Linked DNA regions of Macaca mulatta. The protein of the gene in region 1 purifies or fractionates together with the protein of each later gene. This does not show direct contact. Links are inferred from orthologs where the notes say so. Each region holds a gene or a part of one and is shown in the gene's direction. Other genes may lie near its edges.

Region 1 (3,979 bases):
TTACTGGTTTTGTGCTGTAGAATCTGTGACACAGAGAGGTTGAGTAATTGTCCTAAGGTCACACAGCTTCTAAGTAGCAGTGCTGGATAGATCTGACTCTACAGTCTGTGCTCTTAGCTGTGTCAAGGAGGAAGGCCCAGGATTTCATCTAGAAAACAGACTGTGAAAAGGGATTGGAATGAGAGCAACCTGCACTGGGTGCAGAGGTCCTGTCGATAAAGGATGCAGGATGGGAAAGGAAGACAAAGGAAGGGCCTAGAAGGTCCAAGGAGAAGGGTGTTCAGGGCTGCAAGCAACACTGGAAGCCAGGCCAGTTCAGTTGACCACCTACCCTGGTGCATCCCCAATCCCTGCTGTCCCTTCAGGTCGGATTTGCAATTCTGCTCTCCCTCCTCCTAAACACAAACAGGAGATTTACACACTCAAAGTCTCTCCCCACAAATAACTAACTAATCACAAAGGGAAAAATTGTAACTTTGCAGTGGCACAACCTGGCCGACGCCAGCTTAACCAAGTGACCAAAGTGGATATTCAGGGAAGGCTCTGGAAGGGCATTTGGGGGAAGCGTGGAAAGGTTTTGTGAGGACTCTGAATGACGGGGGTGGGAAGCTTTGGGGACTGAGGAGTCTACCCTAACAGGGCAGGGTCCAGAGGGGGAAGGAGGGGTATGTCTCCGGGAAAAGGAGAAGTATTGAGGTGGGAGAGGTTCTGAGGTTTGAGCGAGGCCCTGGGGAGGGACTTGACAGTTTGGGTGACAGGAGGGTCAGAATAGGGTCAGTATGGGAGGTGTCGGGTGGGTAAAAGCTGGGTGAGTGCAGGGCTAGGGGTAGGGTCTCCAAGGACAGTGAAAGGGTCGGGACTCGCGGGCGAGGGCTCTAGGGCAACGGCCAGTGGAAGGGGGGCTCCTGTGGCGTGAAGTCAGGCCAGCCCGAGGGTGAGGCGATTTGGACCGTCCGACCTGGGGCGACGGGAGGGCGAGGGTGCGGGACGGTGCGGGAGGGCGCGAGGTAGGCGGCGGGGCGTGCCGGGGCGGGGCCGGGGCGGGGCCGGCACCGCCCGGCGGGTCCCCCCGCGCTCCAGGGGGCGCTGTGAGCCTGGGCGGTCCCAGGCCGGGCGGCGGCCGCTCCCAGCGAGCGCGGCCCCTTTTCCGGGTTTCCTCCGCCTCCTCCTTCTCTCCTCCTTCTTCTCCGCTGCCGCGGCCGCTGCCCCTTTCCCGGCCGGTGGCTGCCACTGCCGGTGCCGCCGCCGCCACTGCCGCCGCCTCCTGGGGGCCGCGAGCCGAGCGGAGACCGCCGCGGATCGCGAGCGCCGCCCGCCCCGCCGCCCCGCCGGCCGCTCCAGGGCCGGGCCGGCTCGGCCGGCGCCCCCCGCGCCCCCAGCCCGCCCGCCCCCGCGGGCCCGGCCTGGCGCGGCCGCCCGCCGCCGCGTTCCTCCTCCTCCTCCTCCAGCGCCCGGCGGCCCGCTGCCCCCTCCGCCCGCCGCCCCGCGCCCTCCGCCGCGTCGCCGCCGCCACCCTCTGCGCCCCGCGCCGCCCCCCGGTCCCGCCCGCCATGCCCGGCCCGGCCGCGGGCAGCAGGGCCCGGGTCTACGCCGAGGTGAACAGCCTGAGGAGCCGCGAGTACTGGGACTACGAGGCTCACGTCCCGAGCTGGGGGTAAAGCCGCCGCCGCCCCCCGCCGGGCCCGCTGACCCCTGCCCCCGCCCGGCCACCCCCTGCGAACCGCACTCGGGCCCGGTGGTGTCTCCCGCCGACCCCTCCGCGGGCCCGCAGGGAGGCAGAGGTCCAGCTCTCGCACATGTCCTCGTCTTCCTCTTCCCTCCCCTTGTCCCTTTCTCCCCGCTTTGCGCACCTCTTTCCCCCAAGGAATGCTTTTTTACTCGGGGAGAAGTGTGGGGTCCAGGGATCGACGCCCGGTAAAAGTGAGGGAGTAGCCCTTCCTCACGCTTCTGGGTTTCCACTGGGGTGGGAAGTCAACAGCTGTCCTTTGGAGCTATTAAAATTCCCTGCCTTTTCGGTTTTCTGAGATGAGGTGGTGGGAGGAAATTTCTTAAAGACGTCCAGTTTTTTAAAACAGGCACTGTCTACCCTCAGGGTGTGAAACGGGAAGCAGGTGCTGGGGAGCCGCGGGGCACAGGGGGCACCCTCTAGGCCTTCAGGACGGGTGCTTTGCTCAGCCCTCTGGATTGGCTCAGAGCGTTGCCTTCCTGCCCCATCTTTCCAAGTTAGGAGAGACCAATTAGGTTAGGAGCTCTGCAGAGTGAAGGGAGCCAAGATTACGTCGTGGCTTTCATTTAGGGAATGAGTTGTGACGTGATGTATAGACACTTCCAAGTGTTTGCCTGTTGGAAGCGGCTGAATGACGTATACAGTGAGCATAGGCTTGCTTAGATTAACCCCCAGTCCTGGCATTTATGTGTGTGTCTTCCTTTTACAGTAATCAAGATGATTACCAACTGGTTCGAAAACTTGGTCGGGGAAAATATAGTGAAGTATTTGAGGCCATTAACATCACCAACAATGAGAGAGTGGTTGTAAAAATCCTCAAGGTGAGTGTCCTATGAGTGGTATGTAACATTTTTCCCCCCACAGGGCAGAAGGTTGTAAGCTACCCCAGTCACGTTCTAGAATGGGCAATGCAAGCTTGAATTTAATTTAATTTATTTATTTAGAGTCAGAGTCTCACTCTGTCACCCAGGCTGTAGTGCAGATCATAGTTCACTGCAGCCTTCAACTCCTGAGCTCAAATGATCCTCCCATCTCACCCAAGTAGCTGAGACTACAGGTGCATGCCACCACGCCCAGTTATTTTTAAAATTTTTTTGTAGAGTCAGGGTCTGGTCAAGTTGCCCAGGCTGGTCTTAAACTCCTGAGCTCAAGCAGTCCTCCAAAAGGACTCCTTGCAGGCCTCCTAAAATTGCTGGGTTTACAGGCATAAGCCGCTGTGCCCAGCCCACGCTCAGATTTTATTTATCTGATGTCCCTTCATTACTTCTTTTTCCACCCCATTTTGCTGTGAACTTTCAAGAAAATGTGCAGACTGGTCACAGATCTTAGTTCAAATCTAAGTTCAGGAAGGTGTTTGTTCTAAAAAGTAAATTGCCTAAAGCAAAAATTCCTAAAGGGCTCCATTTGTTAGAAAATAAATAGGTATTCAAAAGACAGGAAAGCCATTCTCAATTTAAGGGCTCCCTGAGCACTGTGTTTGTTAGTCTTGGTGCATGCTCTCCGTTGTTCCAGAAAGAAAGTTGGAAAAAATTGGAGCGACTTCAGAAATGTATGTCAAACCCAAGTGGAAGGAAATTCCTTAGCAGATAATCACTTGCTTTTTTTTTTCCTTTGGCAGTAAAGTTTCAGGTGGGATGGATATAGTGCGCCAGTAGTGCTGAGAAGCCTTGTTGGGAAGCCAGAGAGCCATTGTTGCTTATCAGCTAGTAAAAATGTAGAAGAATTCACGTATTATTACTAAAGCAATAATTGGAACAAAACGATTTTAATATATGGTTTAGCAATCAGTTTGATAATGATATGTCTTTTGTTATCTCTTCCATGAAGATGATTTTAATGAGCATGAAGGGTCGGCTAAATTTTCCTTCTGGTAACAGATTAATTGTATAGCTTTAATAATGTTTTATAGGCTATAGTAAAAAGTAGTTCTTAGAATCTGTGATGGGTCTTCGTTATTGCCAGATCATTTCATGTGGTTACATGTCATTTAGTGAGAGATTGAGAAGACGGAAGAGTGACGTAAGCACTTTGCATACATGTGATTTCCAGTGTGGCCCTTTTGCAGAGGTTCTGTGGACTAAGAATGTGGAATTGAAAAGCTGTTTCTGTGTGTTAGAGCAGCTGTGTAGGTAATCACTGTTTAATGTGAGGGGTCAGGCTTATGCTTCCTGGTAATCTTTCAGAAAAAATGATTAACTCCATCACTCAAAACATCCTAGCCTAGTGATGAAGAAGCAGAATTGCAGTAAAGAG
Region 2 (3,500 bases), on another chromosome or scaffold:
TATTCCTGGAAACATGGCCCATTCCAGCCAGCTCTCCAGCCCCGGCTTCTGTAACACGTTCCGGCCCGTGGACAGCAAGGAGCAGAGGAAGGAGAACCCCTCGCCTCTCTTCTCCATCAAGAAGACGAAGCCGCTGCGGAGTGAGGTCTACGACCCGTCTGACCCCACCGGCTCCGACTCTAGCGCCCCGAGCAGCAGCCCCGAGAGGTCTGGCCCTGGCCTCCTGCCCTCTGAGATCACACGAACCATCTCCATCAAAAGCCCGAAGGCCCAGACGGTTCAGGCTGTGCGCTGCGTCACCTCCTACACAGTGGAGAGCATCTTTGGGACAGAGCCTGAGCCCCCTCGTGGGCCGTCCTCTACTGTGTCCCAGCTCCGGGGGGCCTCTGACACGGAGCGAGAGGAGCCTGCGGAGAGCCAGGGCCTGGCTGCCCGGGTGCGGAGGCCATCCCCGCCGGAGCCCTGGGACGAGGAGGATGGGGCGTCTTGCAGCACCTTCTTTGGCTCTGAGGAGCGGACGGTGACCTGTGTGACTGTCGTGCAGCCAGAAGCCCCGCCCAGCCCGGACATGCCGCAGGCGGCCACCCACAGAGTGGTGGAGCTCAGGCCCCCTTCCCGGTCCCGCTCCACATCCAGCTCCCGCGGCAGGAAGAAGGCCAAGAGGAAGAGGGTGGCCAGGGAGCACCGACGGACGCGCTCTGGGACGCGCTCTGAATCCAGGGACAGGAGCTCGAGGTCAGCGTCACCATCAGTGGGTGAGGAGCGCCCCAGGAGGCAGCGGTCCAAGGCCAAGAGCCGGCGGTCCTCCAGCGACCGCTCCAGCAGCCGAGAACGAGCTAAGAGGAAGAAAGCCAAGGACAGGAGCAGGGAGCACAGGCGGGGCCCCTGGGGCCACAGCCGGAGGACGTCCCGGTCGCGCTCGGGGAGCCCCGGCAGTTCTTCCTACGAGCCCTATGAGAGCAGGAAGAAGAAGAAAAGGAGATCGCCGCCCAGGCCTCGGGGAAGGGAGTGCTCCCCCACCAGCAGCCTGGAGAGGCTCCACAGGCACAAGCATCAGCGGGAACGCAGCCACGAACGGCCAGACAGGAAGGAGAGCGTGGCATGGCCCCGAGACCGGAGGAAGCGGAGGTCCCGGTCCCCAAGCTTGGAGCGCAGGGCGCGGGAGCACAGGCGGCCACGGTCCCGTGAGAAGCGGCCGAGGCCCCGGTCCCATTCCCCAGAGAGGAAGGGGCCTGTGAGGGACGCTTCCCCAGCACCCCTTGCACAGGGGGAGCCAGGGCAGGAAGACCTCCCCACCAGGTCGCCAGCCTTGGGGGAAGCACATGTCTCAGTGGAGGTGGCTACGGCAGACAAGGCCCCCCTGCAGGCCCCCCCTGTCCTGGAGGTGGCAGCCGAGTGTGAGCCCGACGACCTGGACCTGGATTATGGCGACTCCGTGGAGGCCGGGCACGTCTTCGACGATTTCTCAAGTGAAGCTGTTTTCATCCAGCTCGATGACATGAGCTCGCCACCTTCTCCCGAAAGCACAGACTCCTCCCCAGAGCGAGACTTCCCACCGGAGCCCGCGTTGCCCCCAGCCAGCCTGGCCGTGGCCGCCATCCAGAGGGAGGTGTCGCTGATGCACGATGAAGACCCTTCACAGCCCCCACCCCTGCCAGAGGACCCCCAGGAGCCACATCTGCTCAGGCCGGATGTGGCTGAGAAGGCTCAGGCGCCCAGTGCCCTGGATGTGGCGCCTGTGGGGAAGGAAGACGGCCCCTCCGTGAGCGGGAGGGCACACGAGGCAGCCCGGCCTGAGGAGGTGGTTTTGCAGACCCCCCTGCTGCGGTCCAGAGCCCTGGTGAAGCGGGTCACCTGGAACCTGCAGGAGTCGGAGAGCAGCGCCCCTGCCGAGGACAGAGCCCCCCGTGAGTAGGGCCCGGGCCCCGGCCCCCGCTGAGGACAGAGCCCCCCGTGAGTAGGGCCCCGGCCCCCGCTGAGGACAGAGCCCCTAGTGAATCCAACCCATGTTGAGAACAGGAACCCTGAGTGAGTAGGGTCCTGCGCACCACAGGGAGCTTCTGGAGCCAGGGAAGACTGGGATAGTGGGTGCGGGGGTCTCCTGCAGGCGGGCAGAGCAGGTCATGGTGGGGGATCAGTGGCTAGGAGCTGGCGCACCTCGCAACCTTCCCTTGCTGCTGGGGGTGGATCTGAGGGCTGCTCTGTGGTCCTTGCTCCTGGCGCTTTTCTGGATTTTTCCAGCCGTGAAACAGCATTCTGGGCAGGGGCGGGCACAGAGCACCCACCTCCCTGTCTGTCGGGCCCCCAGGGGCACTGTTTCACAGGCCACAGAAGCCCCGAGAAGGAGCCTGGGATGTGGAGGACGTGGCCCCCACAGGGGTCAGGCAGGCGTTCTCCGAGCTGCCCCTTCCTAGTCATGTGCTTCCGGAGCCTGGGTTCCCAGACACAGACCCCTCTCAGGTGGGTGCCTGGGCTGGAGGGCTGTGGGCTGTGGGCAGTGGCCTGGCACCCGTGCCACACACGCCACACGAGGCTGGGGCTGAGGCCTCACGGCTCCTGGGCAGAGCTGCCAGCCGTAGGGCCCGGTGCTCAGCAGAGGTGTCCTTCCCAGGTTTACAGCCCCAGCCTGCCACCTGCCCCAGCCCAGCCCTCAAGCATCCCACCCTGTGCGCTGGTCAGCCAGCCCACGGTCCAGTTCATCCTGCAGGGGAGCCTGCCGCTAGTGGGCTGTGGGGCAGCACAGACCCTGGCCCCAGTGCCCACTGCCCTGACCCCAGCCTCAGAGCCAGCCAGTCAAGCCACTGCAGCCAGCAACTCAGAGGAGAAGACCCCGGCTCCCAGGCTGGCTGCAGAGAAAACCAAGAAGGAGGAGGTGAGTCCTGCCTCCTCCCACTTTCCCCGCGTTCCTGTCTTATTGTGAAACTAAAATTGTCGGGGCTGAATTTAGGGGTGGAAGCCAGTCCCTGTGCCTCCGGAACTGGAAAGGTGTCTAGAACCGCAGTGCCTCTGGCCAGAGGGACTCCAGGCCCCCTGCCTGGCCGCGTCACACATTTGTCCCCCTCTAGTACATGAAGAAGCTGCACATGCAGGAGCGTGCTGTGGAGGAGGTGAAACTGGCCATCAAGCCCTTCTACCAGAAGAGGGAGGTGACCAAGGAGGAGTACAAGGACATCCTGCGCAAGGCCGTGCAGAAGGTGGGCTGCGCGCGAGCCTGTGTGTGGGGCTCGGGGTCACGGGTAGCCCGTCGCTGCTGTCTCGTCAACACGGACTTTGGGGTGACCGTGAATGCAGGTCCGAGGTCAGCCAGCCAGGGCAGGTGGCTGTGTTGCCACATCCTGCAGGCCTGGGGTCAGGTGGGTTCGCCTGTGGCTGCCCCTGGCAGATGGTTAGGAAGAAGGGTGCCTCAGTGCCTGCGAGGCCCACGCAGACGTGTTTTGCAATATGTAAAATTACCCAGCCCACGCCCAGCGTACAGGTGGGAGAACAAGACCCCCAGAGTG
Region 3 (3,500 bases), on another chromosome or scaffold:
CTGCAGCCCTACTGGGCCAATGGGAGCTTCTGAGAAAGAGCTTTGCTAAGAAACTGAGGAACCCTCAGAATGTAAAATAAATTACAGAAATGAAAAAATCACAAGCATTTATATATATACATTTTTCTACGCTAATCTATTTCTAAAATGCTGATTCAGTAGCTTCTTGCTTGACAGAATGCAGCACTGACAGGAGGTTTTCAAATCCCAAGGAGTCGAAGCTTTTGTGCAGTTACACTCACGGGGGGGACATCTGGGGTTCAGCCCGTGGCTCTCCTTGTCCCTCTGTGGGTTCCCTTGTGATGAACAATAGAACAGGCACCCAAGGCTGCACAATCATGGCTCCTGGGCCACCTGCTTCACCTTTGATCCTGGAGCTTCCACTGGGGGCCTCTGGCTGCACAGCAAGCCTGTGACACCACCCTAACGGATGGATGACTAATGGGACCTGAGGCTAAGGAATGCAGCACGCTGGGGGAGGGCCAGAGTCAGAACTGGGGGTGCAGGGCAGATTATCTTCCCTTCCCGGAAGTCTCCTCCCATAGCTGAGTCGTCTCCCCACCACCACCCTCCAGAATCACGTCACCCTCCATGCCAGACAACCAGACAGCAAGCTCCAGCCTGTAAGGACAACTCCAGCAACCCGCCAGGCAGAGACAGCTGGCGCACTGCCTGCAGTGCCAAATGTGCCTCCTCTTTAGACCCTCCTGATGGTGGAAACCATGGCATTTGAGCAAACATTTTAGTTCATCTGGGGTGGTAGAACTGATCTTACGGCCCAGGAGACGCAGCCAAGTCATCTGTATGACATGGGTTCTCCTCAAGTTGCTGAGCCTTCTATATATGGCTCCCTCCATGACCCTGGAGGAGATAGCTTGGAGGACAGAAGTTCTTCAGTCTCGGCGATTATATCACAGACCTCCCTCTGCGGTTCAGCTCTTGCTCTGGCCAGTCTCGGTAGAAAGATTTGGCCTCTAATAAGGGGAGTGGATCACCCCTCCTGACATGTCCTAAACGCTGTCACCTGGGCCCTCCAGGCCTGCCCGCCCGCTTTGCTGGCACAGTGCCTCAGGTGTTTCCCTTCTGGAGAATCTCTGTTTAAGCCCCACTGCAGGGGGAGGCTGCAGGTAGATCTTGCCCTGGACCAGTGCCCGCCTTCCTGGCTGAGACTGCTCTTACCAGAGGTGGCTCTGGTGTCTTGGCCCTCTTCATTGGCACTGGGCCATGCTGATGCCATCTACTTTGGGCATCATGTCCATGGGCTGGGGAGGACCCCCTTCCTGAGGACGCCTGTGGCACTGGCCGCAGTAGGTCAGCCTGCATCCCCCGTGGTGGTTCTCCACTCTCCCACTGAGAGCCAGGCATGACCTGTGGGGAATTTGGGTGAGAGAGAAGCAGTTAACCCTTGATACCCTCGATAAGCCAGCGCGGACCAGCCACCTGTGCGCCTCCCCGTAAAAGACACATTCTAAAAAGCTTGCAAGACCGAATCCAAACAACTACTCCTGCCTCCCATGAAAAGGCCATAGCCCTTCCGAAGTCTCCTGTGGTTCACAGTTCTGCTGAGGACTTGACCTCATGTTAAAATTTAAAACCAGGATTCATTCCCTGCATATCAACACCAGTACCCTACACCCTGCTTCGGATGATTCTGGAACTGATTAACCAATTGGGGCTTTGTTCATTTTTTTCTCCGTGGCTCCTCTGCTGTGATCTTTTCACTGCTCACTATATTGTCATCCAGAGAGTGTCAGGAAACCTCAGCAGTGAAAGCAGCCTGGTCTTGGTTTATGTTACTTGTGTGCAATTCTGGGCAAAAGGTAGGGTGGAAAAAGAGAATAGGTTAATTTTTTGTTTCGTGTTTTTGAGAGAGTCTCACTCTGTTACCAGGCTGGAGTGCAGTGGCATGATCTCAGCTCACTGCAATGTCCACCTCCCAGGTTCAAGCGATTCTCCTGCCTCAGCCTCCCAAGTAGCTGGGATTACAGGCGTGCCCCACCACACCCAGCTAATGTTGTTTGTGTTTTTAGTAGAGACGAGGTTTCATGTTGGCCAGGATGGTCTCAATCTCTAGACCTTGTGATCCACCCACCTTAGCCTCCCAAAGTGCTGGGATTACAGGCGTGAGCCACTGCGCCCGGCTGAGAATAGGTTAAATTCTCCGCCTTCTGGGTTCACGCCATTCTCCCGCCTCAGCCTCCCAAGTAGCTGGGACTACAGGTGCCTGCCACCATGCCTGGCTAATTTTCTGTGTTTTTAGTAGAGATGGGGTTTCACCGTGTTAGCCAGGATGTTCTCGATCTCCTGACCTCGTGATCCACCTGCCTTGGCCTCTCAAAGTGCTGGGATTACGGGCATGAGCCACCGCGCCCGGCCAAGAATAGGTTAAATTTTAACATGAGGTCAAGTTGGGCTTTGCGTGGCTCTGGAGCCTCACGTTCATGCTGCACACGTAGCTGGTGACCAGGGGCTGGGATGGTGGAGAGGTGGGCTTCTGTCATACACCCCTCTGCTCCTCTTCCATAGGACAAGATCCAGAAGCTTTATGAACGAAAAATAAAGGAGGGAATGGATATGAACTACATTATCCAAAGAAAGAAAGAATTTCGGAACCCCAGGTAAGTTTCCCTTGAACCTGCAGAGTTTATTGAGTTATTAATGTTGGATTAAGGACGTCCCCAAGGAGGTGGTGAGGAAAAGCCCTGAGCCCAAACCATCACCCAGACTTGTCATTACACTGAGTGCCTGCTGGACACGGCAGACTATGCTAACCCAGCCAGAGGCTTGCCATTTAAGATCCTGACAAAACACAAAGCAGTCCATACCGAGACCTAGACGGGGATGAGGGAGACCTGGCTGAGTTCTCGTCCCTGCTCTGAGCCTAAAGCACATGACCTCTCAAGACCCCTGTCCTCATGGAAGGAATTGGACTAGACAATTACTATAGGTTCATCTTTCAACTCTAAAAAGCTGATTTTTGCATATAGGTGAGAGGTCTTAGGACCAGAGCTATGTCTGGTCTTATTCCATTTAATGCTCAAGCTAGTGACTTACGGGGGAAAGAGCATGGCCCTTGTGTGGGCCTGAGTGTGGTGAGCCCAACCCAGCCATGCAGACTGAAGGTCAGTGGGACAAAACTCAGCCATCACCTTGACCCCATGCTCCTCCCGGCCCTTAGTTAACAGGTCCATCTCCCTGGGAGGGTGTAGGGCCATCAGGAAGCTTGCTTAGAGCAGCTGAGCTGGATTTAAAGGTTTTGAAGGTTTTGTGTCAGCCCCAGGAGCTGGATGGTTCAGGCCCCAGGCAGGGACGTGGACTTGTGCCTGCTCAACGCCTGTGCTGTTTTTTCAGCATCTACGAGAAGCTGATCCAGTTCTGTGCCATTGACGAGCTTGGCACCAACTACCCAAAGGTACATCTGGCACACGGAGCTGGAGGGTGATGGGGACACCCGGGGTCCTGTGCTTGTTCCATGGGGTTTGACCTGCAGCCACAGAAGG
Region 4 (4,182 bases), on another chromosome or scaffold:
TGATCTCCTGACCTCATGATCCACCCATCTCGGCCTCCCAAAGTGCTGGGATTACAGGCTTGAGCCACCGCGCCTGGCCAGGATGGTCTTGATCTCCTGACCTCATGATCCGCCCATCTCGGCCTCCCAAAGTGCTGGGATTACAGGCTTGAGCCACCGCGCCTGGCCAATTTTTGTAGTTTTTAGTAGAGACAGGGTTTCACCATCTTGGCCAGGCTGGTCTCGAACTCCTGACCTCATGATCCACCCACCTTGGCCTCCCAAAGTGCTGGGATTACAGGCATGAGCCACTGCGCCTGTCCTATTTATTTATTTATTTATTGAGACGGAGTCTCGCTCTGCGGCCCAGGCTGGAGTGCAGTGGCCGGATCTCGGCTCACTGCAAGCTCCGCCTCCCGGGTTCACGCCATTCTCCTGCGTCAGCCTCCCGAGTAGCTGAGACTACGGGCACCTGGCCCAGCTAATTTTTTGTATTTTTAGTAGAGATGGGGTTTCACCGTGTTAGCCAGGATGGTCTCGATCTCCTGATCTCGTGATCTGCCCACCTCAGCCTCCCAAAGTGCTCGGATTACAGGCATGAGCCACTGCGCCCAGTAACGTTATTTTACTAAATCCTGTCTCTGAATGCAAGGGATACCTGGCCTGTTTTTATTCACCATCACTGTAGGTTGCTGAGTAAATGCTGAATTAATGAATGCATCACTGAGTCAGTGACTGATTGCCTTCACACAGCGAGTGCTGGGCTGGGATCCTCCGTGAATCTGGGGAGGTGAGGTTTGCAAAGACAGGACGGATCTGGGGTGGGGAGATACCCAGGCTAGGCTGGCACTCAGGGGAGAGGACAGAGGTGAAGGGACTTAAAAAGCACCTAGAGATATGCCTAGCTCTACCTAAGACTCTCAGTTAACCGCCTAAAGTAGGGACACTTTTTGCCATTGCACAGGTAGGGAAACTGAGGCCCAAGGGCATTAACCCTGACCTGGCCTGGAGCCAACAGAGGAAACCCTGTACAGTTTGATGCACAAATATTTAAAGAGTTCCCACTAGGCTCCCCGACCGTCCCTAGGAGCCGAGCTGCCCCTTGACCCATTCCAGGCCTCAGTTTCCCCGCCCACACTTCGCCCCCGCCTCATGGGATTCTAAACTGTCGCCGCAACGTGGGAGTTGAACGGAAACTACAACTCCCAAGAGGCCGTGCAGCCAAAGACACACGAGAACTACGGAGGGAGAGTCTCGCGCAGCAAACTGCCGTTCTCGCAAGGCTCGGGCTGCCCTTGGCGCTGCCGATCCCGGAAGTTGCTGCATTCAGGCGTTCGCCGACGACAGCCCATCGCGGGGCGGGGTTACGTGGAGGGGGCCTGATTGGGAGTCGGCGCAGGCGCAGTCCGCGCGGGTTCTCGCAGGCAAAACGGGTGCGAGTGGCGGCGATGGACGACGAGGAGGAGACGTACCGGCTCTGGAAAATCCGCAAGACCATCATGCAGGTGAGCCGCGCGTGGTGTTGGGGGCGGGGGCGCGAGCAGCAGGTGCAGGGGCCCGAGGCGAGGTCGAGCTCGGCGTCTCCTCGTACTCCCGTCGCAGCAGCAGCGACGGAGGGCCCGGCCGACACGGGAGGCCCCGAGGCCGCCGGGGATCCCAGGCGCTGGGCCCGACCTGAGCCGGCAGCGGGGAAGGGAGGGGGTTTCGAGACGTCTGGGTGCGGGGCTTAGCGGTGGGCGGGCGGCTTGGGCTGGTGCGGCGCACATGGCGGCGAGAGGAGGAAGGTGCGAATGGGGACGGGGGGCGCCCCCAGACCCTGCCCCTCTCTGTGATTCAGCGTCGCCATTTGTCCTTGCGTCCTGAACCCCAGGGCGTCTCAGCATCCGAGGCTGGCGGAGTTGGTGGTTGGGAAGCAGCAGGCGAGCTGGGGCTTTCGATGGGGACGTGGAGCCCGGAACCCGTGCCTCGGGGTCTGAGACAGATGGAGGCCACTGGGCCGACTCCGGTTTGGAAACTGGGCAAAGGTCTGAGGGCCTGCGGTTCAGGGTCCTCCCTCAGCCGTTGGGGCCGTTTGGGAGCTTTTGTTTTGTCTTGCTTCCCCACCCCCTATGCCCTTGTCTTTAGCGAAGCCCCCCGCAGCCTGATTCTCCTTCCTCCGGGCCGCAAACATTGTCAGCCTGAAGTCACATTTGTTTCGGTCCCTGTCTTTTTTTTTTTTTTTTTTTTTTTTTTTTTTTTAAGAGACAAGCTCTCACTCTGTCGCCCAGGCTGCAGCGCAGTGGTGCAGTCATAGCTCACTGCATCCTTGAACTCCTGGCCTCAAGCAGCCCTCCTGCCTCGGCCTCCCTGAGCTCTGGGGTCGTGGACGTGACCCCCCACGCCCCGTCTTTGTCCCTGTCTTTAGGGTAGCTCTGCAAAGTGGTTTGGAGGGCTTTGCCCCCTGCCAGGTTCCTGTGAGGCTGGATAGACGGACGGTCTTGGTCAAGGCTGGACACCTCTGCGAGCCTCTCGGGATCACGCTGGTCCCATCCTGTGGTGTGGGGCTGTGGGGGCCAGGATGGCTGTCATGGGGCACACAGCGAGTGTTCATTCCGTTTGCTGTTCACCTCTGTCCTCTGCAGCAGCCGCAGGTCTGACTTCTGGGTCACGAGCTCTGGCCGCCTTCCTGTCTCTGCCCTGGGGTCAGCTGGTTCTTTCTCTCTGCAGCTGTGCCACGACCGTGGCTACCTAGTGACCCAGGACGAGCTTGACCAGACACTGGAGGAGTTCAAAGCCCAATTTGGAGACAAGCCGAGTGAGGGGCGGCCGCGGCGCACTGACCTCACGGTGCTGGTGGCCCACAACGATGACCCCACCGACCAGATGTTTGTGTTCTTTCCAGGTGAGCAGCGGGTCCCGGGGGAGTTCTGGTGGAGCCGCCCGAGCACCTGCTGAGGAGCCGGCCGCTAGCACCCACCCCCTCCCGCCTCGTGCCCAGCGTTTGATCCTCTGCCCAATCTGGGAGGAAAACTTCCCCTCCTCTTCCTTGCTGTGGGCGATGCCGTGGACCTCTGACCCCTCTCATGCGCAGCCTCTTTCTGGTTTCCCTCTCATCGGTCCCCTTTCTTCCTGCCAACCAGGAGAGTCCCATGGACCTCCCTACTCACCCGCAGCCCCTCATGACCTTTGCCCTACCTGTGTTCCTTGGCTCCCCCATCCTGGCCGTTGGGTGCACTTCCAGCTTCTTGGCCTGGCCCAGGAGGCCCCGTGTGGGTCAGCGCAGCCTCCTTGTGAGCTGTGGCCCCTGTCTGCCCCAGCCCATTCCTCTGCACCCCATGCCGCCTCTGCCTTGTCAGCGTCCGCTACTCATCCCTCGAGGTTGTGCTCAGGCCGCTTTTCCCGGGACCCCTGGGACCCTCGGTTTCAGCACCTGGACCGTGGAAGTCTCCCCACCTGTCTGCCCCCCCCCAGGATGGCTCTAGCGCCCTCAGTGGTTGGGGGACTACCAGCGCCTAGGGACACAGCCGCGTGCCCAGAATTAATCAGTGGGGTGGACGGAGCGTGTCTGCCAACCGGGTGATGCTACTGCTTTTTTTTTTTTGAAAGTCTCATTCTGTCACCCAGGTGGTGCAGTGGTGCCATTTCGGCTCGCTGCAGCCTCCACCTCCTGAGTTCAAAATTCTCCTGCCTCAGCTTCCTGAGTAGCTGAGACTGCAGGCACCCACCACCATACCTGGCTATTTTTTTTTTTTTTTGTATTTTTGGTCGAGATGGGGTTTCACCATGTTGGCCAGGCTGCTTTCAAACTCCTGACTTCAGGTGATCTGCCTGCCTCGGCCTCCCAAAGTGCTGGGATTACAGGCGTGAGCCACTGCGCCCGGTCTTCTTTTTTTTTTGAGGCTGAGTCTCTCTCTCTGTCACCCAGGCTGGAGTGCAGTGGCGCAATCTCGGCTCACTGCAACCTCCACCTCCTGGGTTGAAGCAATCCTCCCACCTCAGCCTCCCACAAAAAGCTAGGTTTACAGGCATACACCATCTCACCTGGCTACTTTTACTTTTTTTAGTAGTGTTTATTTGGTTTTTTGAGACGGAATCTCGCTCTGTCGCCCAGGTTAGAGTGCAATGGCACAATCTTGGCTCACTGCACGCTCCTTCTCCCGGGTTCACACCATTCTCCTGCCTTAGTCTCCAGAGTAGCTGGGACTACAGGTGCCCGCCACCACG
Region 5 (4,013 bases), about 52 Mb from region 1:
CAGAGTGTCCAGGCACCTGGGCTTTGTGTCTTAGCTCTTGGGCTGGTGCCCAGCGGTGCATGGGGTCAGCCTCCACTGGGACCGCACAGCCCTGGCTGGTGTGATCTCCATGCAGCTCCAGCTCCAGCACCCGGCTCTCCAGTCGAAGGATCTGTAGGACAACTGGCATGAGCGGGTACACCTGCCTGCGGGCCACCTGGGGGAGGTGAACATTCACCTGGTGCACGCTCAGGGACACGCAGCACTCACAGGGCAGGCCAAGACCCACAGATGCCATGTGCGTGTGCACACCCGTGCAGGGCACGTGTCCTGGGCCTGCACCCGTCTGTCCCCCATGCACTGAGGCTGGCTCACACGGCTGCTCACCTCACTCTTCAGCTGAAAGATTTCAGCCTCATGCTGCTCCTGTAGGCGGTGGGTTGTGATCTGAATGTCGACCAGCTCCTTGGAGATCTGTGGGTGGCCAGGTGAGAGGTGGCATCTGTGGAGCCCTGCTGGCACCCTCCCTCATAGCACCCTGGGGCCCCACACCCACCTGCAGCTGCTGCTCCTCACTGAGCACCAGATCTGGTGGGACCTCTGCTTCCAGGCTGGTGGCCCACGCCGTGGTGCCCCACGCTGTGGTGCCCCCAGGAGCTCCTGGCAGCCAGTCCTTGGCTCGTAGCACAACCTGGGGAGGCACCGCCACCCATTCCCCAGGTGGGTCCCTGGAGCGGTGGCCCCACTCCCATGCAGTTACTGACCCCCTCTCCCTGCCTGGCTGAGCAGCAAAAGTTCCTCCCTTGGCTGAGATTAGACCCAGGGTGCAGGCACCTGCACCTTCCTGGCCCCTGGGGGAAAGGGCAGACTCCAGCCCCGTGGCAGGAGTGGTGCGTCCCAGAGGACTCACGTTGTCCACCCGCCGAGGGGGAGGTCCAGGCCTGGGGCCTGTGGTGGCTGCGTGCTCCATAGGCAAGGGGACCCTGGCCAGCTCCGAGCCCGGTGCCGCCTCCACGCTTGGCCTCCCTATGGCGGCTGCTGCCACAAGCACTGCTGCGTGCGTTGCCAAGGCCTCTGTTGGTTCCAAGTGACTCCCAGGGCCCCGCCCACAGTGGCAGGCCAGACCTGTGGTTGTGGAGGAGGAAGGACAGCTCTTCTTCTCCGTGCCTCCGTTTCCCCATCTGGGGAATGCGGCCCAGCGCCCCCTGCACATTCCCTGTGCAGATGGAACCAGGTGCGTGAAAGCACCCAGCCTTGACGCTGCGGACAAGCACGCAGAATGGAGCAGCAGCCCGCCCGCAGGATGCCCTGAGCTACACTCGCTGGACACCTTCTGTGTACCTAGCAGTGCTGGCTGAGCCCCGGACGGGGAGGTATGTCTCTGCACCTCCGGCCTGAGAAGCGGGGCGCGCAGGTCCCAATCAGGGGCCAGAGAACTCGGAAACGACTGGCTCAGCCGGGGCGTTCCGGAGGGCTTTCTGGAGGAGGTGCCAGCGCCGGGCGCGGCGGGGTCGGAGCGCGCGCGCGGCGCCCCACCGGGCACGCGCACCCCCGGCGGCGGGCCTTGTGGTCTCACCGCGCGCAGGATCCGGGCCCGGCGGGGGCGGGGCGCGTCCGCGGAGGGGGGCGGTTGGCTGCTCCCGAGCCCGGCGCCGCGCTCCGTCCAGACCCCGTGACCGGCAGCCGAGGCCCCGCCTCCGTCTGTCTGTCCTTCGGGCCGTCAGCGCAGCAGTGCGGGTGAGGCGGGCGGCGGGGGAACGCGGCTGCCCGGGGTCAGGGGTCTTGCGGCGGCAGGGCGGGGGGCCGAGGGGCGGGGCCTGGCAGGAAGGCGTGGCCTTCGGGGACTGCGGCTCGGCCTGGGGGCGGAGCCGGGGCGGGTTGGGGACCGGCCGGGTTCCGCTCCTACTGGAGCCCGGTGCGTGGAATTCCACGCGAGTGCCGGGGAGTTCCTAGGGAGCCGGGCTCCTCATTTGGCCCCCAGCGTGTTGACCGAGCCCGCTTCGCACAGACCTTCCTAGAGTGTGGAGAGCGGGCCCCGCCCTGAAGGGGCACCGTGGGCTGGGGGGCTTGTTTTGGAGCAGGCACGGGTGGCCGAGCTTCGTGACCATGAAGGTCAAGGTCATCCCCGTGCTCGAGGACAACTACATGTACCTGGTCATCGAGGAGATCACGCGCGAGGCGGTGGCCGTGGACGTGGCCGTGCCCAAGAGGGTGAGGGCAGGCCGCGGGCAGCAGGGACCCCGCCGTGACCCTCGAGAGCCTCCCCTACCCCCCTGGCAGGAGCGAGCCCCCACGTGCAGTGCTCTCTGGGCGTCATTGGCGGCTGGGGTTCCTCGATTATTTCGGGGCTCCCTGAAGTTAGGGCGCCTCTGGCCTCCGCCCTTTCGCTGCTGCCTGGTGGTCTCCGCACGGGCTGGGCGCAGTCACCGCCCGCTGGGTCCCCGTTCCCTGGCGCTGCCCCGGGCAATGGCCAGCCTGGGGCAGGACCTGGCGCCCCGATATGGAGGGGGTGGCCCACTGGGACCGTCTGTGTTATCGTCACTCCCGTCCCTTTCAGCTGCTGGAAATCGTGGGCCGGGAGGAGGTGTCTCTGACTGCCGTGCTGACCACCCACCATCACTGGTGAGCGCCGGCGGGGCGGGGGAGGCGGGAGGACGCCGCCGCCCTGTCCCACCCCGACCTAACCCGGACCCCGCCCGCCCGCCCGCAGGGACCACGCGCGGGGAAACCCGGAGCTGGCGCGGCTGCGTCCCGGGCTGGCGGTGCTGGGCGCGGACGAGCGCATCTTCTCGCTGACGCGCAGGCTGGCGCACGGCGAGGAGCTGCGGGTGAGCGCGCGCCCCCTGGAGGGGCGGGGAGGGCGCCCCGGTTCCGCCCGCCCTCACAGGTCTGCGCGCTCCTCCGCTGCAGTTCGGGGCCATCCACGTGCGCTGCCTCCTGACGCCCGGCCACACCTCCGGCCACATGAGCTACTTCCTGTGGGAGGACGATTGCCCGGACCCACCCGCCTTGTTCTCGGGTACCCGCAGCGCAGAGCGTGCCCACCCCGCCTCCCGCCGGCCCCGCCCCATCTGCTCTGACCCGCCCTCCCCCGCCAGGGGACGCGCTGTCGGTGGCCGGCTGCGGCTCGTGCCTGGAGGGCAGCGCCCAGCAGATGTACCAGAGCCTGGCCGAGCTGGGCACCCTGCCCCCCGAGACGGTGAGCGGGCCTGGGCCCTCCCCTCCTCTCCCGTGGGCGCAGGCCCCACGCTCCGCACTTGCACTGTGCCAGGGGTGCAGAGTGAATGCCCACCTGAGGGCAGCCGGCGAGGGGAGGCCACGCCAGCGGCGCGAGCACTTTCCCCGCGCGCTCACCGAGCGTTCTTCCTCCAGAAGGTGTTCTGCGGCCACGAGCACACGCTTAGCAACCTGGAGTTTGCGCAGAAAGTAGAGCCGTGCAACGACCACGTGAGAGCCAAGCTGTCCTGGGCTAAGGCACGGCCCCTTTCCGGCCTCGGCAAGAGGGTGGGGGGCACAGGCTTTGGGGGGCTTTCAGAGAAGGCCCAATGGTGACCAGGGCCTGTGGTCACTCCAGAAGAGGGATGAGGATGACGTGCCCACAGTGCCGTCGACTCTGGGCGAGGAGCGCCTCTACAACCCCTTCCTGCGGGTGGCGTGAGTATGGCTGTCGTCCCGGGGCCTCCACCGTCACGTGGACCCTTAGGAAGGCATCTGGGGACCGCGTGTTGGGCTGAGTGAGCATCTTTGGCTTGGGGGAGGCTGCTTATTAAGTGCCTTCCCGCCCGCCCCCGCCACTCGGCACCATCCTCCTGCGTGGGCAGTGGGCCCTGCGTCTCACTGCACTCCTTCCTGCAGAGAGGAGCCGGTGCGCAAGTTCACGGGCAAGGCGGTCCCCGCTGACGTCCTGGAGGCGCTCTACAAGGAGCGGGCGCGCTTCGAACAGGCAGGCGAGCCGCGGCAGCCACAGGCGCGGGCCCTCCTTGCGCTGCAGTGGGGGCTCCTGAGTGCAGCCCCACAGGAGTGACCCATCCAGA
Region 6 (2,522 bases), on another chromosome or scaffold:
TACTGAAATCTGCGTGCAATAGGAAAAATTGTGAAATTTTTAGTGATATTTTTGTTTTATGGAGCACTCAAGCCAGATCATTTAAGGTTTTTTTTTTTTTTTTTTTTCCCCCCTGTTGTTTTTTTCAGTCTCACTCTGTCGCCCAGGCTGGAGTGCAGTGGCACTATCTTGGCTTACTGCAACCTCTGCCTCCCAGGTTCAAGCGATTCTTGTGTCTCAGCCTCCCAAGTCAAGTAGCTAGGAGTACAGGCGCACCACCACACCTGGCTAATTGTATTTGTAGTAGAGACAGGGTTATTAACATGTTGGCCAGGCTGGTTTTGAATTCCTGACCTTAAGTGATCTACCTGGCTTGGCCTCCCAAAGTGCTGGAATTACAGGTGTGAGCCCCACCGTGCCCGGCCCATTTTAAGTTTCTTATATAAGTTTAAAATACTGTTAATGATGTCTCTGCAGTGATATACATAGCTTTAGTGTTTTTTTAATCAGTATCTTAAAAGTAGCATTTAGAATGATGATGAATTAATGCCAGCGTCTATTCATGATTGCCAATCTGTTTCTTCTTTTAAAAATATTTTGCTTTTTCAAAAAAATAGGTGGATGGAGAGAGAAAGAAAAAGCCAGAGAGGAGAGCTGGGGTCCACCTCGAGAATCAAGGCCATCAGAAGAACGTGAATGGGACAGAGAAAAAGAAAGAGATAGAGATAATCAAGATCGAGAGGAGAATGACAAGGAACCTGAGAGAGAAAGGGAGAGAGAGAGAGATGTGGATCGAGAGGATCGCTTCAGAAGACCTAGGTGTGATGTTCTAATTAAATTATTTGTAGAGGCCGGGCGCGGTGGCTTATGCCTGTAATCACAGCACTTTGGAAGGCCGAGGTGGGCGGATCACCTGAGTTCAGGAGTTCGAGAGCAGCCTGGCCAACATGGTGAAACCCTGTCTCTACTAAAAATACAAAAATTAGCTAGATTTGGTGGTGGTGTGCCTGTAATCTCAGGTACTCAGGAGGCTGAGGCTGGAGAATCATTTGAACCCAGGAGGCAGAGGTTGCAGTGAGCAGAGATCGTGCCATTGTACTCCAGCCTGGGCGACAAGAGCGAAACTCCATCTCAAAAAAAAAAAAAAAGTTTGTAGAGCTGCAGTTGGGGTTGTTTTAGACACCGGCCTGTGTATTTCAAACTGTTTTTCAGAAATGATGTTCCTTGCTATTCCCCAGCACCCCCCTTATCTCTTAGAATCATAATGCAGGCTTTAGAGGCAGGAGAGTTGCTTGAACCCGGGAGGCGGAGGTTGTGGTGAGCCAAGATCGTGCCATTGCACTCCAGCCTGGGCAACAAGAGCGAAACTCCATCTCAAAAAAAAAAAAAAAAAAATTTTTATAGATTATCTAACCAAACATTCCCTGTTAAAGCAAGAAAATGGAGGCCCAGACTTCGTGGCTGTCTATAGGCTGTATGACTGTTGGGCAGTGGAACCAGTCCAGCTGTCTTTGTCAGTCCATTGCTTTTCAACCTGTGGTTTAGGGCAGTCAGTTTTTTTGCCCTTAAATTATCAAAAGCCCTTCGATTTTATTGGTAGTAGAAGTTCTAGCTTGCTCCCTCTGCCAAAGTGTCCTTGCACTGATAAATGTAGACCAGCAGTGTTCAATGCAATTTTCTGCAAGGAAGAAATGTCTGTGTCTGTGTTGGCCAGTATGGTAGTCAGCAGTCACATTTGGCTGCCAAACACTTAGAATATATGGTTGGTGCTCCTAAGGAAATATCTCCATTTTACTTTAAATTTAAGTAACCACATATGGGTAGTGGCTACTGAGTGGGATGGCACAGATCTGAGTGTTCTCGTTTGTTCTCCATGCCCCAGGTATCAGGTAAGGTCAGGTTATGAGTTTAAACTGTCCTGTTACATTTGTAAACTCTAAGCCCCAGCTTGGATTGGATGTACTTATAATTATCCCATTTGGTCTAACAGTAGTAAGAACCTGACTTGTCATTGTAAATGGCTACAGGGATGAAGGTGGCTGGAGAAGAGGACCAGCTGAGGAATCTTCAAGCTGGAGAGACTCAAGTCGTCGGGATGATAGAGATAGGGATGACCGTCGCCGTGAGAGGGATGACCGGCGTGATCTAAGAGAAAGACGAGATCTAAGAGACGATAGGGACCGAAGAGGACCTCCGCTCAGATCAGAACGTGAAGAAGGTATAGATGTTACATACAACTGAAGTATTGGAGAACCGTCATTTCTTGGGGGGGGATTTGGGTTATTTAATTATATCGTAAACTTGTATGAATGCCAACAATAAGAGAGCTGATGTTTATTCCATTTAGAATTCAGGATTTTCATACAGTTAATGGTCGTGTTGTGAAGTGCACTTATCTCTAAATTCAAAGTACAGTAGTAGACTAAATTGGATAGTAGGCAATATATATAAAGTTTACTTAATAAAAATGAAAAAAATTGTTATTTAAAAGCAACTTCTTGAGAAATTAAGCACAAAGTAGAAACATTTTCTCTGAAATTGTA
Region 7 (3,192 bases), on another chromosome or scaffold:
TGTGCTTTCACAGCACAGGTCACTGTCTGGCAGCAGAATAGCAGAACAGCTGAGAGTCATGGGCACACCCGGCACTCATGGTGATCACTACTGATTTTCATGTTGCTCGGAACATCCTGCTGCGTCCTGGGAGCCAGCTGGGCTGGCTTGGCCTCCATGGTTTTAGGGGGCAGAACCGCTCAAGAGTTGCGGTGCTTCTGTCTGGGCCTCAGTTCTTTGCCCTGTTTTGCCCTATTAGCTGCTCCAGGGCGAAGATAAGCCTTCTGTGTCCCCTGCTGCTGGGATGACAGCTCTTTGCCTTTGCCCTGAGCAGTAAGTAGTTTGTCTGCTGGCCATTTCCCAAGAGCTGCCTGGGGGCTGAGCCAGGCCAGCTGCCAGCCTACCCCAGCCCTTTGGGTCATGGCTCTGGACCTGGCTTGGGCCCAAGGAGGGGTCACTCAATTCTGAGTGTCCATCCCGAGGTTCAGAGGTGGGACTCAGTGGGTGGCCTGAGCCCCATTCATCCCCCGCCCCCGCTGAGCCTGGCCTTCCCAAGGCACCTTAGTCAGCTAAGGTTTTGCCAGCCCTTCTGGGCTAGGGACAGCGCTGGGAGCACCGCCCTCCTGGTGCCCACACGCTAGCCCAGCAGCAGACATGCAGCAAAGATTGTGGGCTAGGTGATGCAGAAGGCAGGAGCTCCGGCCGGGTCAGAAAGTGGTGTCTCCGAGTCTGAGCTAGACCTGAAGGGAGTGGGAGAACTGGCGCAGGGAGGGGAGGACCAGCCAGTCCTGGGAGCAGTGGGGACCAGGGTTCCTTTTCTCACTCTTTTATGGGGGTCTGGCACTGACTTCGAGGATGGCTCTAACCCTTGGGACCCCTATCCAGAGCCTCACTTGTGGCTGGGAACACTTGTGGCCAGAACGCCCCTGGGTGGGAAGATCCGTGCCACCCCTTCCCTAGGGCAGTGCCTTCTTGAGGAGCTTGGAGTCCTCGGGTAGGTCAGACGCCCTCCACTCTGTGGTTGTCTGTCCCTCCTTTGCTCCCATCCCTGCGCCCACACTGCTCATGCACCTCTTGTGTTCCTCAGCACCCGACAGACGTGGACTACAGGGTCATGGCCACCTTCACTGAGTTCTACACCACACTGCTGGGCTTCGTCAACTTCCGCCTCTACCAGTTGCTCAACCTGCACTACCCCCCGAAGGTAGGACCCCATACCAGTGCCTTCTGCTCGCGGTGCAGGGGCCGCAGCCCTTCTCTGTCGACACAGAGGCGAGGGGCTGTGGCTGTCCTCTGCCCCTGACCTTCCCCTTGCCTACTAGCTCGAGGGGCAGGCCCAAGCAGAGGCAAAGGCCAGTGAGGGCACCTACGCGTTGGACTCCGAGAGCTCTATGGAGGTAAGAGGCTCCAGCAGCGTCACCTGGCATCTCCCAAGGGCGTGGTCTCTGTCCCCAATACCTCTGGGGGTCTGGGTCAGGGTGGGGGTGGTTGTGGCTAGGTGGGTGGTCTCAGCCTGCCCTTGGAACCCACACCTGCTGATGCCCAGGACTGTCACTGCTGCCCCTCCCCACCCTGGCCCCATGCCCGCATGAGGTCCCCCACTGCAAGCAGCCCCTTCTCTCCTGTAGAAACTGGCGGCCCTCAGTGCCAGCCTGGCCCGCGTGGTGGTGCCTGCCACAGAGGAGGAGGCCGAGGTGGATGAGTTTCCCACCGATGGGGTGAGCACTGCACTGCCTTCTGGCAGGAGGACTGGGAGGGGTCGTGTGGGGGGGTTCCCAGCTTAGGGACATTTGCATCCTATAAATTAGGTGTTATTTGACGGTCAAAGCAACTGAGCAGAAGAACGGGCTGAATTGTCATCAGAGTTTACATAGGAGGCAACAGAGTTCAGGAGTGGGGCCTTGGAGTTTCCTTTGAAGGCAGGATCCAGGATCTAGAAGGAAGCTGGAGTGGGCGTTATCTCCAGCCTTGGCCCTCCAGTGGAGGTGGGCAGCCCTGGTGGTGCGAAGCCTGGCCTCTTTTTCAACAGGAGATGTCAGCACAGGAGGAAGACCGCAGGAAGGAGCTGGAGGCACAGGAGAAGCACAAGAAGCTTTTTGAAGGCCTGAAGTTCTTCCTGAACCGAGAGGTGCCCCGTGAGGCCCTGGCCTTCATCATCAGGTAGGGAGGCTCAAGGGCCCTCTGACAGCACTGGTTCGGCCATGCTCTGGTCTGGGTCCTGCCCTGGTGTCCATCAGTAACATTGGGATGGTGTCAGTTTCTACTTCTTATGAAAGAGTGTGTGGAAAGTGCTCGGCACTGCACTGAGCACATAGGAAGCACTCAGCAGAGGGCGGGACTACCGTCATTTTATTACCAGCTTAGCACAGAAGGATGAGCAGTGGGCAGATCTCTGCTGAGCCAGGATGGGAGGATCCTGGGGTGAGGAGGGGGCAACGGTGCCCTAAGAGGGTGAGTTTTTGGACTGGGTGGCCAGCAGATCCCAGGAAGCTGAGTCCCAGGACAGGCAGTTCATGTCTGTGTACCCGTGTGGGCTCTCCCTGTCCCTGTAGGAGTTTTGGGGGGGAAGTGTCCTGGGACAAGTCTTTGTGCATCGGGGCCACCTATGACGTCACAGACTCCCGCATCACCCACCAGATTGTCGACCGGCCTGGGCAGCAGACCTCAGTCATTGGCAGGTAGGCCCCCAATCTGATTATCTGGATTTCTGCGTGTCCCATCTCAAAGGCCCTGCGATGCAGCAGGACCCTGAGTTGCCCTCCATGACTTCGTTTTTGCCTGCCACTCTGCACCAGGTGCTACGTGCAGCCCCAGTGGGTGTTTGACTCGGTGAACGCCAGGCTCCTCCTCCCCGTGGCAGAGTACTTCCCTGGGGTGCAGCTGCCCCCACACCTTTCACCCTTTGTGACCGAGAGGGAAGGAGATTACGTCCCACCTGAGAAACTGAAGCTGCTGGCTCTGCAGCGGGGAGAGGACCCAGGTGAGCAGGATGGGACTGGGCTGGCCTTGGCCCCTGGGCCCACACTGGCTGTTTCCCTTGGCTGCCAAGGTGGAAAGCTCCAGGGAACAGGCAGTAGGAGCAGAAAGCCCTTTGAAGCCACCTGTGGAGTAAGGCTTCGGAGAAGGGACATCTGCCTCCTGGGGTCAGGTGTTATTTGACGTTCAGGATAACTGAGCAGAAGAACGTGCTGCGTTGTCATCAGAGTTTACATT

Evidence for each region.
Region 2: the proteins of CSNK2A2 (region 1) and PHRF1 purify together in Homo sapiens (affinity purification with mass spectrometry; 3 studies listed by BioGRID and IntAct, counting the BioPlex papers as one, with this or other methods). This does not show direct contact. The link is inferred for Macaca mulatta from reciprocal best matches to the Homo sapiens genes CSNK2A2 and PHRF1.
Region 3: the proteins of CSNK2A2 (region 1) and SAP30BP purify together in Homo sapiens (affinity purification with mass spectrometry; 3 studies listed by BioGRID and IntAct, with this or other methods). This does not show direct contact. The link is inferred for Macaca mulatta from reciprocal best matches to the Homo sapiens genes CSNK2A2 and SAP30BP.
Region 4: the proteins of CSNK2A2 (region 1) and POLR2E purify together in Homo sapiens (affinity purification with mass spectrometry; 3 studies listed by BioGRID and IntAct, counting the BioPlex papers as one, with this or other methods). This does not show direct contact. The link is inferred for Macaca mulatta from reciprocal best matches to the Homo sapiens genes CSNK2A2 and POLR2E.
Region 5: the proteins of CSNK2A2 (region 1) and HAGHL purify together in Homo sapiens (affinity purification with mass spectrometry; 4 studies listed by BioGRID and IntAct, counting the BioPlex papers as one, with this or other methods). This does not show direct contact. The link is inferred for Macaca mulatta from reciprocal best matches to the Homo sapiens genes CSNK2A2 and HAGHL.
Region 6: the proteins of CSNK2A2 (region 1) and EIF3A purify together in Homo sapiens (affinity purification with mass spectrometry; 3 studies listed by BioGRID and IntAct, with this or other methods). This does not show direct contact. The link is inferred for Macaca mulatta from reciprocal best matches to the Homo sapiens genes CSNK2A2 and EIF3A.
Region 7: the proteins of CSNK2A2 (region 1) and PES1 purify together in Homo sapiens (affinity purification with mass spectrometry; 3 studies listed by BioGRID and IntAct, with this or other methods). This does not show direct contact. The link is inferred for Macaca mulatta from reciprocal best matches to the Homo sapiens genes CSNK2A2 and PES1.

What each region holds. Positions count from the first base shown.
Region 1 is NC_133425.1:53,802,437-53,806,415, reverse strand, and holds the start of CSNK2A2 (casein kinase II subunit alpha'), read left to right. Parts: upstream 1-1,179; 5' UTR 1,180-1,550; coding exon 1,551-1,654; intron 1,655-2,435; coding exon 2,436-2,547; intron 2,548-3,979.
Region 2 is NC_133419.1:502,087-505,586, forward strand, and holds part of PHRF1 (PHD and RING finger domain-containing protein 1), read left to right. Parts: coding exon 1-1,907; exon of another isoform or gene 1,908-1,953; intron 1,954-2,308; coding exon 2,309-2,460; intron 2,461-2,611; coding exon 2,612-2,872; intron 2,873-3,065; coding exon 3,066-3,194; intron 3,195-3,500.
Region 3 is NC_133421.1:85,405,997-85,409,496, forward strand, and holds part of SAP30BP (SAP30-binding protein), read left to right. Parts: intron 1-1,179; exon of another isoform or gene 1,180-1,368; intron 1,369-2,526; coding exon 2,527-2,618; intron 2,619-3,351; coding exon 3,352-3,412; intron 3,413-3,500. UniProt on the Homo sapiens protein: Plays a role in transcriptional repression by promoting histone deacetylase activity, leading to deacetylation of histone H3.
Region 4 is NC_133424.1:1,752,873-1,757,054, reverse strand, and holds the start of POLR2E (DNA-directed RNA polymerases I, II, and III subunit RPABC1), read left to right. Parts: upstream 1-1,382; 5' UTR 1,383-1,427; coding exon 1,428-1,484; intron 1,485-2,685; coding exon 2,686-2,860; intron 2,861-4,182. UniProt on the Homo sapiens protein: DNA-dependent RNA polymerase catalyzes the transcription of DNA into RNA using the four ribonucleoside triphosphates as substrates.
Region 5 is NC_133425.1:1,941,921-1,945,933, forward strand, and holds the start of HAGHL (hydroxyacylglutathione hydrolase-like protein), read left to right. Parts: upstream 1-1,213; 5' UTR 1,214-1,352; exon of another isoform or gene 1,353-2,060; 5' UTR 2,061-2,085; coding exon 2,086-2,190; exon of another isoform or gene 2,191-2,536; coding exon 2,537-2,601; exon of another isoform or gene 2,602-2,689; coding exon 2,690-2,807; intron 2,808-2,889; coding exon 2,890-2,998; intron 2,999-3,077; coding exon 3,078-3,178; intron 3,179-3,271; exon of another isoform or gene 3,272-3,351; coding exon 3,352-3,453; exon of another isoform or gene 3,454-3,553; coding exon 3,554-3,633; exon of another isoform or gene 3,634-3,719; intron 3,720-3,834; coding exon 3,835-4,003; 3' UTR 4,004-4,013. Other genes in the region: CCDC78 (coiled-coil domain-containing protein 78), read right to left, coding at 1-151, 367-453, 536-670, 890-1,192. UniProt on the Homo sapiens protein: Hydrolase acting on ester bonds.
Region 6 is NC_133414.1:131,129,253-131,131,774, reverse strand, and holds part of EIF3A (eukaryotic translation initiation factor 3 subunit A), read left to right. Parts: intron 1-596; coding exon 597-798; intron 799-2,006; coding exon 2,007-2,197; intron 2,198-2,522. UniProt on the Homo sapiens protein: RNA-binding component of the eukaryotic translation initiation factor 3 (eIF-3) complex, which is required for several steps in the initiation of protein synthesis.
Region 7 is NC_133415.1:20,962,847-20,966,038, forward strand, and holds part of PES1 (pescadillo homolog), read left to right. Parts: intron 1-1,066; coding exon 1,067-1,183; intron 1,184-1,301; coding exon 1,302-1,376; intron 1,377-1,607; coding exon 1,608-1,750; intron 1,751-1,959; coding exon 1,960-2,139; intron 2,140-2,531; coding exon 2,532-2,657; intron 2,658-2,774; coding exon 2,775-2,959; intron 2,960-3,192. UniProt on the Homo sapiens protein: Component of the PeBoW complex, which is required for maturation of 28S and 5.8S ribosomal RNAs and formation of the 60S ribosome.